Caenorhabditis elegans: one gene and its partner. The protein of the gene in region 2 purifies or fractionates together with the protein of the main gene of each other region. This does not show direct contact. Each region holds a gene or a part of one and is shown on either strand. Other genes may lie near its edges. The genes, in order: srx-93 and fbxb-76.

What was found.
Region 1: the proteins of fbxb-76 (region 2) and srx-93 fractionate together in Caenorhabditis elegans (co-fractionation; one large-scale study listed by BioGRID). This does not show direct contact.

The regions. Positions count from the first base shown.
Region 1 is NC_003283.11:3,618,778-3,622,712, forward strand, and holds srx-93 (G-protein coupled receptors family 1 profile domain-containing protein), read right to left. Parts: upstream 1,932-3,935; coding exon 1,869-1,931; intron 1,823-1,868; coding exon 1,659-1,822; intron 1,613-1,658; coding exon 1,380-1,612; intron 1,330-1,379; coding exon 1,163-1,329; intron 1,114-1,162; coding exon 986-1,113; intron 937-985; coding exon 862-936; intron 821-861; coding exon 682-820; downstream 1-681.
Region 2 is NC_003282.8:11,377,384-11,381,263, reverse strand, and holds fbxb-76 (F-box domain-containing protein), read left to right. Parts: upstream 1-1,909; 5' UTR 1,910-1,915; coding exon 1,916-1,992; intron 1,993-2,636; coding exon 2,637-3,090; 3' UTR 3,091-3,093; downstream 3,094-3,880.

The DNA of each region.
Region 1 (3,935 bases), on a different chromosome or scaffold from region 2:
AAACGGCCGTCCAACTTTTATACGACCCCCTGATTTTTGAAATTTTATTGATAAATACACTGAATCTTGGAACTTTTTTCAAAAAATATTTTTTAAAAGATTACATAAAAATTATCCAATTATGTCATTCGCTCATAATAATTTAAAATATGTGACGTGGAAGTGTTGGGAAGCAGTCTGGATGGTCCTGTACCACATGTTTGTGCTTCAGAGCTCAGTGCTCGGCTCCCAGTTGTTGTTATCTCAAATTTTCTCAAATTTTCTGCGAAAAAAATTATTGGCAGAATTAAATTCAATTTGTCTGGAAAAAATTTTGGGAAATTCAAGTTTTCTGAGAAAACAATTTAGCGAAAAATTCAAATTTTCTATGAAAACAAATTTGGTTGGAAATTCGAATGTCCTGAAAAACAAATTGGTGGGAATTTAAAGTTTTCCACGAAAAAAATATTGTCGGAAAATTCGAACTGTCTGGAAAAAAATAGGTGGGAAATTCATATGTTCTGAGAAACAATTTTGGCGGGAAGCTCAAATTTTCCGAATTTTTTTGTGGAAAAATTTGGATGTTCGAGATGAATAAGAGAAATGTACAAAAACGTGGATCTCGGATTAAATTGGATTTTAAAAATTAAACGAAATACTAGATTAAAAAGCTAAAGGTTTTATAGTTTTAGTGGTTATAATTTATTTCACATTAGAATATGTTGTCACTGATGTCTGGCCTTGTCGAGGATGCCCACCACCAATTATTGGGAGCACTACTTTATTTCTCGTTTTGCTTCTAAGAAATGTCAGCTTTTCATTGAAAATTATCATAATAAATCTGAAACAAAATATATTATTAATGTACCAGTTCGGTCTCACCCATCAAGAGAATGTAGGCATTCCCAAATAAAAGTTCCACAGAAATATGTCCACACACGGCGAGTGCTCCAGGAACTGGAATTTGAAGTGCTTCAAAATAAACAGAGTTATAAAATCGACAAACCTTAGTTCAAAAGTAAAAGTTATATCAATAAGGTAAAGGGAATCTAGAAGAATTGTTTGTATAAAATTTAATATATTTTTCCGCATTCTTTTCTTAGCTTCTACAGCTACTTGTGAACTATTAGACTTCTGAAATCATAAAAAAATTAATTTGAATTTTTTTTCAAAAAAAAAATACTTTGTAAAAATGCAAGATCTTCAAAAAAGTGATAAAATTCAAAAATGCCGTTGTTATAAAAGTATATTTAATTACTTCTGGAGCACCATCAACATAGTCACAACCGGGAGCACTGCTGTACTTCCAAGCAAAATATTTTGTCGAAAATAATGTATAGCAACCTTTTGCTAAAAGTATTATAAAAATAACCTAGTAAATATGGCTTCATTTTACCCACCGGACTCTGGCAACCATTCATATATTTTCTGTGCAATTCTATAGAGATAGATTAGAACGAGTATGATTGTTGTATGAGATAATGAAAATATACGCGAATATTTTGTTGGAAAAAACATTGCACAAAATCTGTTAATGGCCATTAGAACAATTTGATACTCATTTCCAAGATATAAAGGGTGTGATGTATTGATGAACCAAGATTCGATTGCTGGTGGGTATGGAGAATACCCTCTGGAACTTTCAATTGTTCCATTATTGTTTTAAAAAAAGGTCTCACAATAAAGTTTTTGGTAGGTAAGTGATCAGAAAGATAGTTGTTAAAATTATGACATTTGATATAGCCCGAAAGAAACAAATGACATTAAAAGCGGTTTGTTCAGATTTTTCTTTGAGAAAAATGTAGACAATTAAGGAGTTACAGACCACACCGAAAGTTCCAATCTGTAGAATTTATATTTTCAATTTTTATTTACAAACAAATCCTTACCGTTCCCAGTAGGAATGCTACCACCAAGTTGAGGGGATCCGTATAGTTGTACTCTTGGGACATAATTCTGTAAGTTCAAGCATGTTTTTGTAGTATCATTTTAATTTTAATTTTACTTCTAAAGGGAAATGTTACTATTGATGCTAACAGTAAATCTGAAAAAGTGTTATTATAAAAAAATCATGTAATTTACAAAAATGTTTGAACTAGAATATAGTGAAACAGAGTCCTAATATATGTATATATCATTTACTATATATAAAGCGCTTATTCCGTTTGTCCATAGTTTGTAGTCTATGTAGTCTTTGTAGTCTATGAAGTTTTGGCTTCTGGAGGGATAGTGAGTTGGGCTTAGTGTAGGGATATAGTCGGGGTACTGTAGTGGTACAATAGGGTTACGGTAGGAATGCTGTATGATTACGGTAGTTTCAGAAAAATTAGTTTTCAGCCCCAGAAGTCGGGGGCCGCGCCGGAGGTGCGGTCCACGGCTGGTATATATATCATTACTTATATATAAAAAAATAATTCCGTTTGTTCCATAGTTTGTAGTCTATGTAGTCTTTGTAGTCTGTGACGTCACACCCAAAGTCACTGAGAATTGTGGGCGGGGTCTGTCATCCTTCGTGGTGAGACCCATCGTGGCGAGACCCACCGTGGTGAGACCCGTCGTGGTGAGAACCATCGTGGCGAGACCCATCGTGGTGAGACCCACCGTAGTAAGACCCAAAATTTTGGCGGGAAATTCAAATTTTTAGTGAAAAACATTTTGGCGGGAAATTCAAATTTTTAGTGAAAAAAATATTTTGGCGGGAAATTCAAATTTTTAGTGAAAAAATTTTGGCGGGAAATTCAAATTTTCTGAAAAAAAAATTTTCCAGAATTTTCTAGAAAAATCGTAAAATTTTGGAATGTTCCAGAACTTTCTTGAAAAATCAGAAAAAGTCTGTAATGTTCTAAATCGTTCTAGAAAATTCAAGAATTGTCTGAAATGTTCCAGAACCTTCTAGAAAATTCGACAAAACTCTGGAATGATCTTCTGGAAAAGTTTAGAAGTTCGTGGAGCGTTCTAAAATTTTCATAACTTTCTAGAATCTCTTTAAAAGATCAAAAGTTAAATAAATGCCATGAACTTAAAAATGTAAAAAATGACGTTTGCCAAAAACTTTCGGAAAAAAACGTGGATAAGTTTCATATGATCATATGACATGAAGAATATCTAGAAACGTTCAAGAAATTCAGAAGTAGTTCCAAGAAACTAGAGTTTTTTAAAGTTGTAACTCTTGAACACTTAGTCATATAATATTCATGTTGCTTTAAAAACATCTGGAAAACTGAGAAAAAACGTCCCATCTGCAGAGAAACGCTTAAAATTTCTAGAATTCCATTTTAATTTCGAGTAAGCCAGTCGGAGCACGCGCTTTAGCGCGTGCGAACGGCTGGTATATATATATATATATATGTACACATGCTTTCTTGTTTTCTTTTCGGTGAAATTATCTTTCTCTGTATTCTTTTTTGGTACCCACGCCTGCGTTTGTCTACGTATTGTGCGTGCAATGTGTATTTTCTAACGATTTTGACAATTGTAATAAATGAAATAAAATTATCAAAAATGAATTGAATAAAATGAATTAACTTCATTACTCTTCATATTCGCGAAATAAGAGAAATGTAAATAAAATGTTAAATTCGCGTTAAATGGGATTTTAAAATTAAGAGAAAAGCTAGATTAAAAAGTTTAATTATTTACAGTGTTAAAAAAATTGTTTCCATAAGAATATGTTGTGACTGATGTCTGGCCTTGTCGAGGATGGCCACCACCAATTATTGGGAGCACTATTTTCTTTTTAATTTTAGTTTTAAGAAATGCCAGCTTTTCATTGAAAATTATCATAATGAATCTGCAATAAAAAATATGATTAATGTATAGAGTTCGGTCTCACCCATCAATAGAATGTAGGCATTCCCAAATAAAAGTTCCACAAAAATATGTCCACAAACGGGTAGTGCTCCAGAAACTGGAAAATTAAAACCAAAAATTTAGATGAAAAGTATAATATAAACAAA
Region 2 (3,880 bases):
GAGCATCAGAATGAGAAGAAAATGAAGAAATATCTAATTGATACGCCTTTCAGAAGCGGACCACCTGCGGTCCAAAACAACGAAAATGATGTGAGGGAGGACTGGAAAAAAGAAGAAAAGGAGATAAATGAGAACGAATTAAATTATCTATCAATAGTTGTTCTTCTGTACTTTTTCTAGAATATTAGAAAACAACTCAATGAATGGAAAATATAAATGACTCGAATCGCCTAGCTGATCCATTTTTGAATCATTAATATCTCATTCAACCTATCCAAAAGGGACTTTTGAAATTATGAACTTTCTCCATCTAAATTCAATTTCTTTTCATGTGATATTTGCTCTTTTTCAATGTGATTTGTGCTCTTTACATCAAATCCTCAAAACTCTAATACCACACAGACTATATTAACAAACTCATTTTGATTTAGAATTTATATGTATGACGCCTTGCATTTTCAAGTTTCTGGAAGGTTGAAGGTTTATAGTAAGATTACGGCTCTCACCTGGATACAATTTTTCTTACACCAATTTGAATTTTGTAAGACAATAATTTGTTTACTTTGAAATAAAGACGTCTTGAGGCGGGTGACATATTCTGTTTGAAAGCCCTGACTGGGAAACGCTGGAGGACGTGTGAATGAAGTTTTGCTTTAACATTTCCAAAAATAGTCTAAAATTCAGAAATAAGACAAAAAAATGGAAATCGATTAAGAATGCAAATTTCAACTGTGAAAACCCAAATGTTTAATTTTGGCAGAGTTAAATATTTGTATTCGGCGAGAAAAATATGAAAAGCTAGTAATTTTGGCAGAACTCATAGTCAGATAAAAATGTAAAACGGAGACTAGAATGGTGACCTTAAAACTGATCAGACGACATTTAAAGTATTCCAAATACGTACCAATTCCAGAATCAGAAAAGTTCAGGTATAATTTCAGCTGCCAGTCACTCTGAATAACTAGATTCCACTCACTCTTTGATCATTCGACGTTTGGATTATTTATATCTGGAACATAGTGTCATCACTCACGGAAATCTGACGTTTCCGGATCACTAATATTATTTCGAAAAGCAACCACGGAAGAGCTTTCATTTGAAATTGATCAAAGCATATTCTCCTTCAAGCCTTTCAAATTGTATTTATTCTGTAGCAAAAACACAACAACAATGATTGGACACAGTTATACTGAAAGTTTGAAAGTTATCTCAGTAGAATATACAAATAATCAAAGTTCTTTGCCAGCAATAAAATGGGTCGATGATCGCGTAAGGAATGAGAAAAAGTCCGTACGAAAACTTTGTGGCAAGGACAATTGAAGTTAATTTTAGTAAATGTGAGAATCAGAAATAGAAAACGATGAAACAAATAAACAAAGGAAAAGGGTGCATGATGTTCTACAACTTTCGAGGGAAAATTGAGGGAAATTACTATTTGTCAAAAGTGAAACCATATACGAGTTTCTAGATAATAATAGATATCTATAAGTCCTCTTTTTTTATAATTTCGTTTATCATTTCGAGAGCTAAATTAAACCATCTCGTTGCATGGTTTTTTATGCATTCGTTGTGATTTCGTTGTGAGTGATTGAAAGCTGCCTTCGTGATTTACAGGCGGTGTCGGCAAGCTATTAGGCTCTTGTGTGTTAATATTTTTAAGATATATAACATCATTTTGACTGAATAAAATATTCCCCTTCAATAAATATGAACGTAAAGGTGGCCTTTGACCCAGTTCTTCCTAATTTTATAGTGATTCAACGCGTTGTCTACTCGAGTGGGCATTACGAGAGAAGCAGAGGATAAGAGAAAAAGCAAGAAAGATCTGAAAATAGGATAATAATGGGGTTAGATCATAAGTCTCCCTCTTCCATTCAATATTGTAACACAGTCACTGTTCTCCTATTCTGACACAATGAGCATCTTTCCTCTGCTCAATCTACCTGAGAAATCTCTGAATTACGTTCTTCGAAGAATGCCTTTAACCGAATTGTAAGTTTCTGAAATTTTGTGTTTATCCGTTTTCCAAAACTTCTTAAACCCTCCACCGTTTTTTGTGTGACACTTTGACCTATAAAAATGGGGACACCAGTTTGTTATGACGTCACGCATCATTAGACGTTGCTCGACAAAATACGCCTGACGACACACTAATAACCAAATATTATTGTGTCGCAGAAACGCCGTTTGTAAAATAATTATAGCTGCCAATATTAAAGTGGAACTACCGTATTTCTTCTATTAGTATTGCAGTCTCTAATAGTCTTGCACCTTTTTTTTGACTATGAGGAAACTTCAACGAATTTGTAATTTTTGGATAAACTTCTCAAAAATTGTTCTAATAGAGGATAAAGTATTAGAAAATAATGTATTGGTTTAAACGGTTGTATTGGTTTAAAAGTTTTCCATAAAATTTGGTAACTGTTCCGAAGTTATGGGGCTTTTGAAAATTAGTCTTGCACCTGTGAGAGGTCAGTTCTATACTGCCTCTCCGTTTCTTTTTATCGAGTGCACTCGATCATGGCCATCGACAACTGGTGGGGTGAGAGAGCACGAGAGAATAGATACATTTTATTCTACATATGAGAATTAACATCATTTCTATCCGGAGGCAAAAAAAAAGTTTCTTGTTTCAGAATTGGATTCGCTCTCATTTCTCAAACGGCAAAAAATCATGTTGAGAATTTGAATATAAAAATGAGAGATGTTCTGGTGGGTTTAGAAGACAATATACGATTTTATATTCGGGCCGATAGGAATAACTTTGTTGCGTCCGCGTTCTTCTCATTTGATATAAACCAAGTCCTTGAACAACCTGGTAAACGTGAATTCATTCTGAAGACTAGTGAAGGACAAACTTGGACCAATCCAGGACTTGGAGTGAGACAATTTTTGGATCATGTTCTTGAAATAGGTCATCATCCAGAGCTTTCTATTTTCTTCAATAAGATTGATTGCGACGAAGATACAATTTGTGATATGTTTGATGTTTTGGCACTTGAAACATTCGCAATGTACATCGGAAACTTTGTTAATATTTTTTATCAAAAAATGTTGAAGTATTATTTGAAAAACAAAAAAGTACAATGAACGACACTCCATAGAGACATCCAAATGGAACGACAAAACCGGAAACAATTTTGAGAGAAAAAAGTTAGAAAAAGTCAAAAGATTGGTGTGAGTCAAAAGAATGTGCCCCCTTGGGTGCAAGTTGAATAAAGAAAGTGAAGAAGATGGATTGAATGATCACAAAATGGAAAGTTTACAAGGAAAATTTTTCAGGGGATTTCTGGAAAATAACTAAAATTGGAAATTGCATTTCAAATCACACAAGCTTTTCAGTTTTCAACTTCAAATTATTTTCTTGAAATTAATATACGTCTAAAACTCTCTGAAACAAATAGCAATTTTGTCAACTTCTATTTTCAGCAATTGTTTTCTTTTCAATGATACTACAAATTTCTGTAAAATTTATAAAATGTTTACTTTCATTTTTGTAGAACACTGTTCAGAAGAATATCAAACAATCATTGATTGATACGAGAGAATCATTCAGATGAATTGCGTCCCTTTCACATTTACAGCGGCATTTTTTACGGAAACATCTATTATAACTTTTGTGGGGTTCGAATCGGTACAGGATTGCATTTTATTTTGGAACAGTTGGGGCTCGCACGATTTATTTAACAAAATTTTAAACTTCAAGGTATCGTTGAGCATGCAAATAAATCAGATTATTATGACAACATGAAAACTTGGGTGTATGGGGTAGAGAAAAATGGGAAGGGAATGATGCTGAATAATAGCTGATTAGCTCAAGAGATCAAATGCAATAAAGTTAGTACATGTAAAGATTAGATTAGTTTGCGGAATGGGGGTG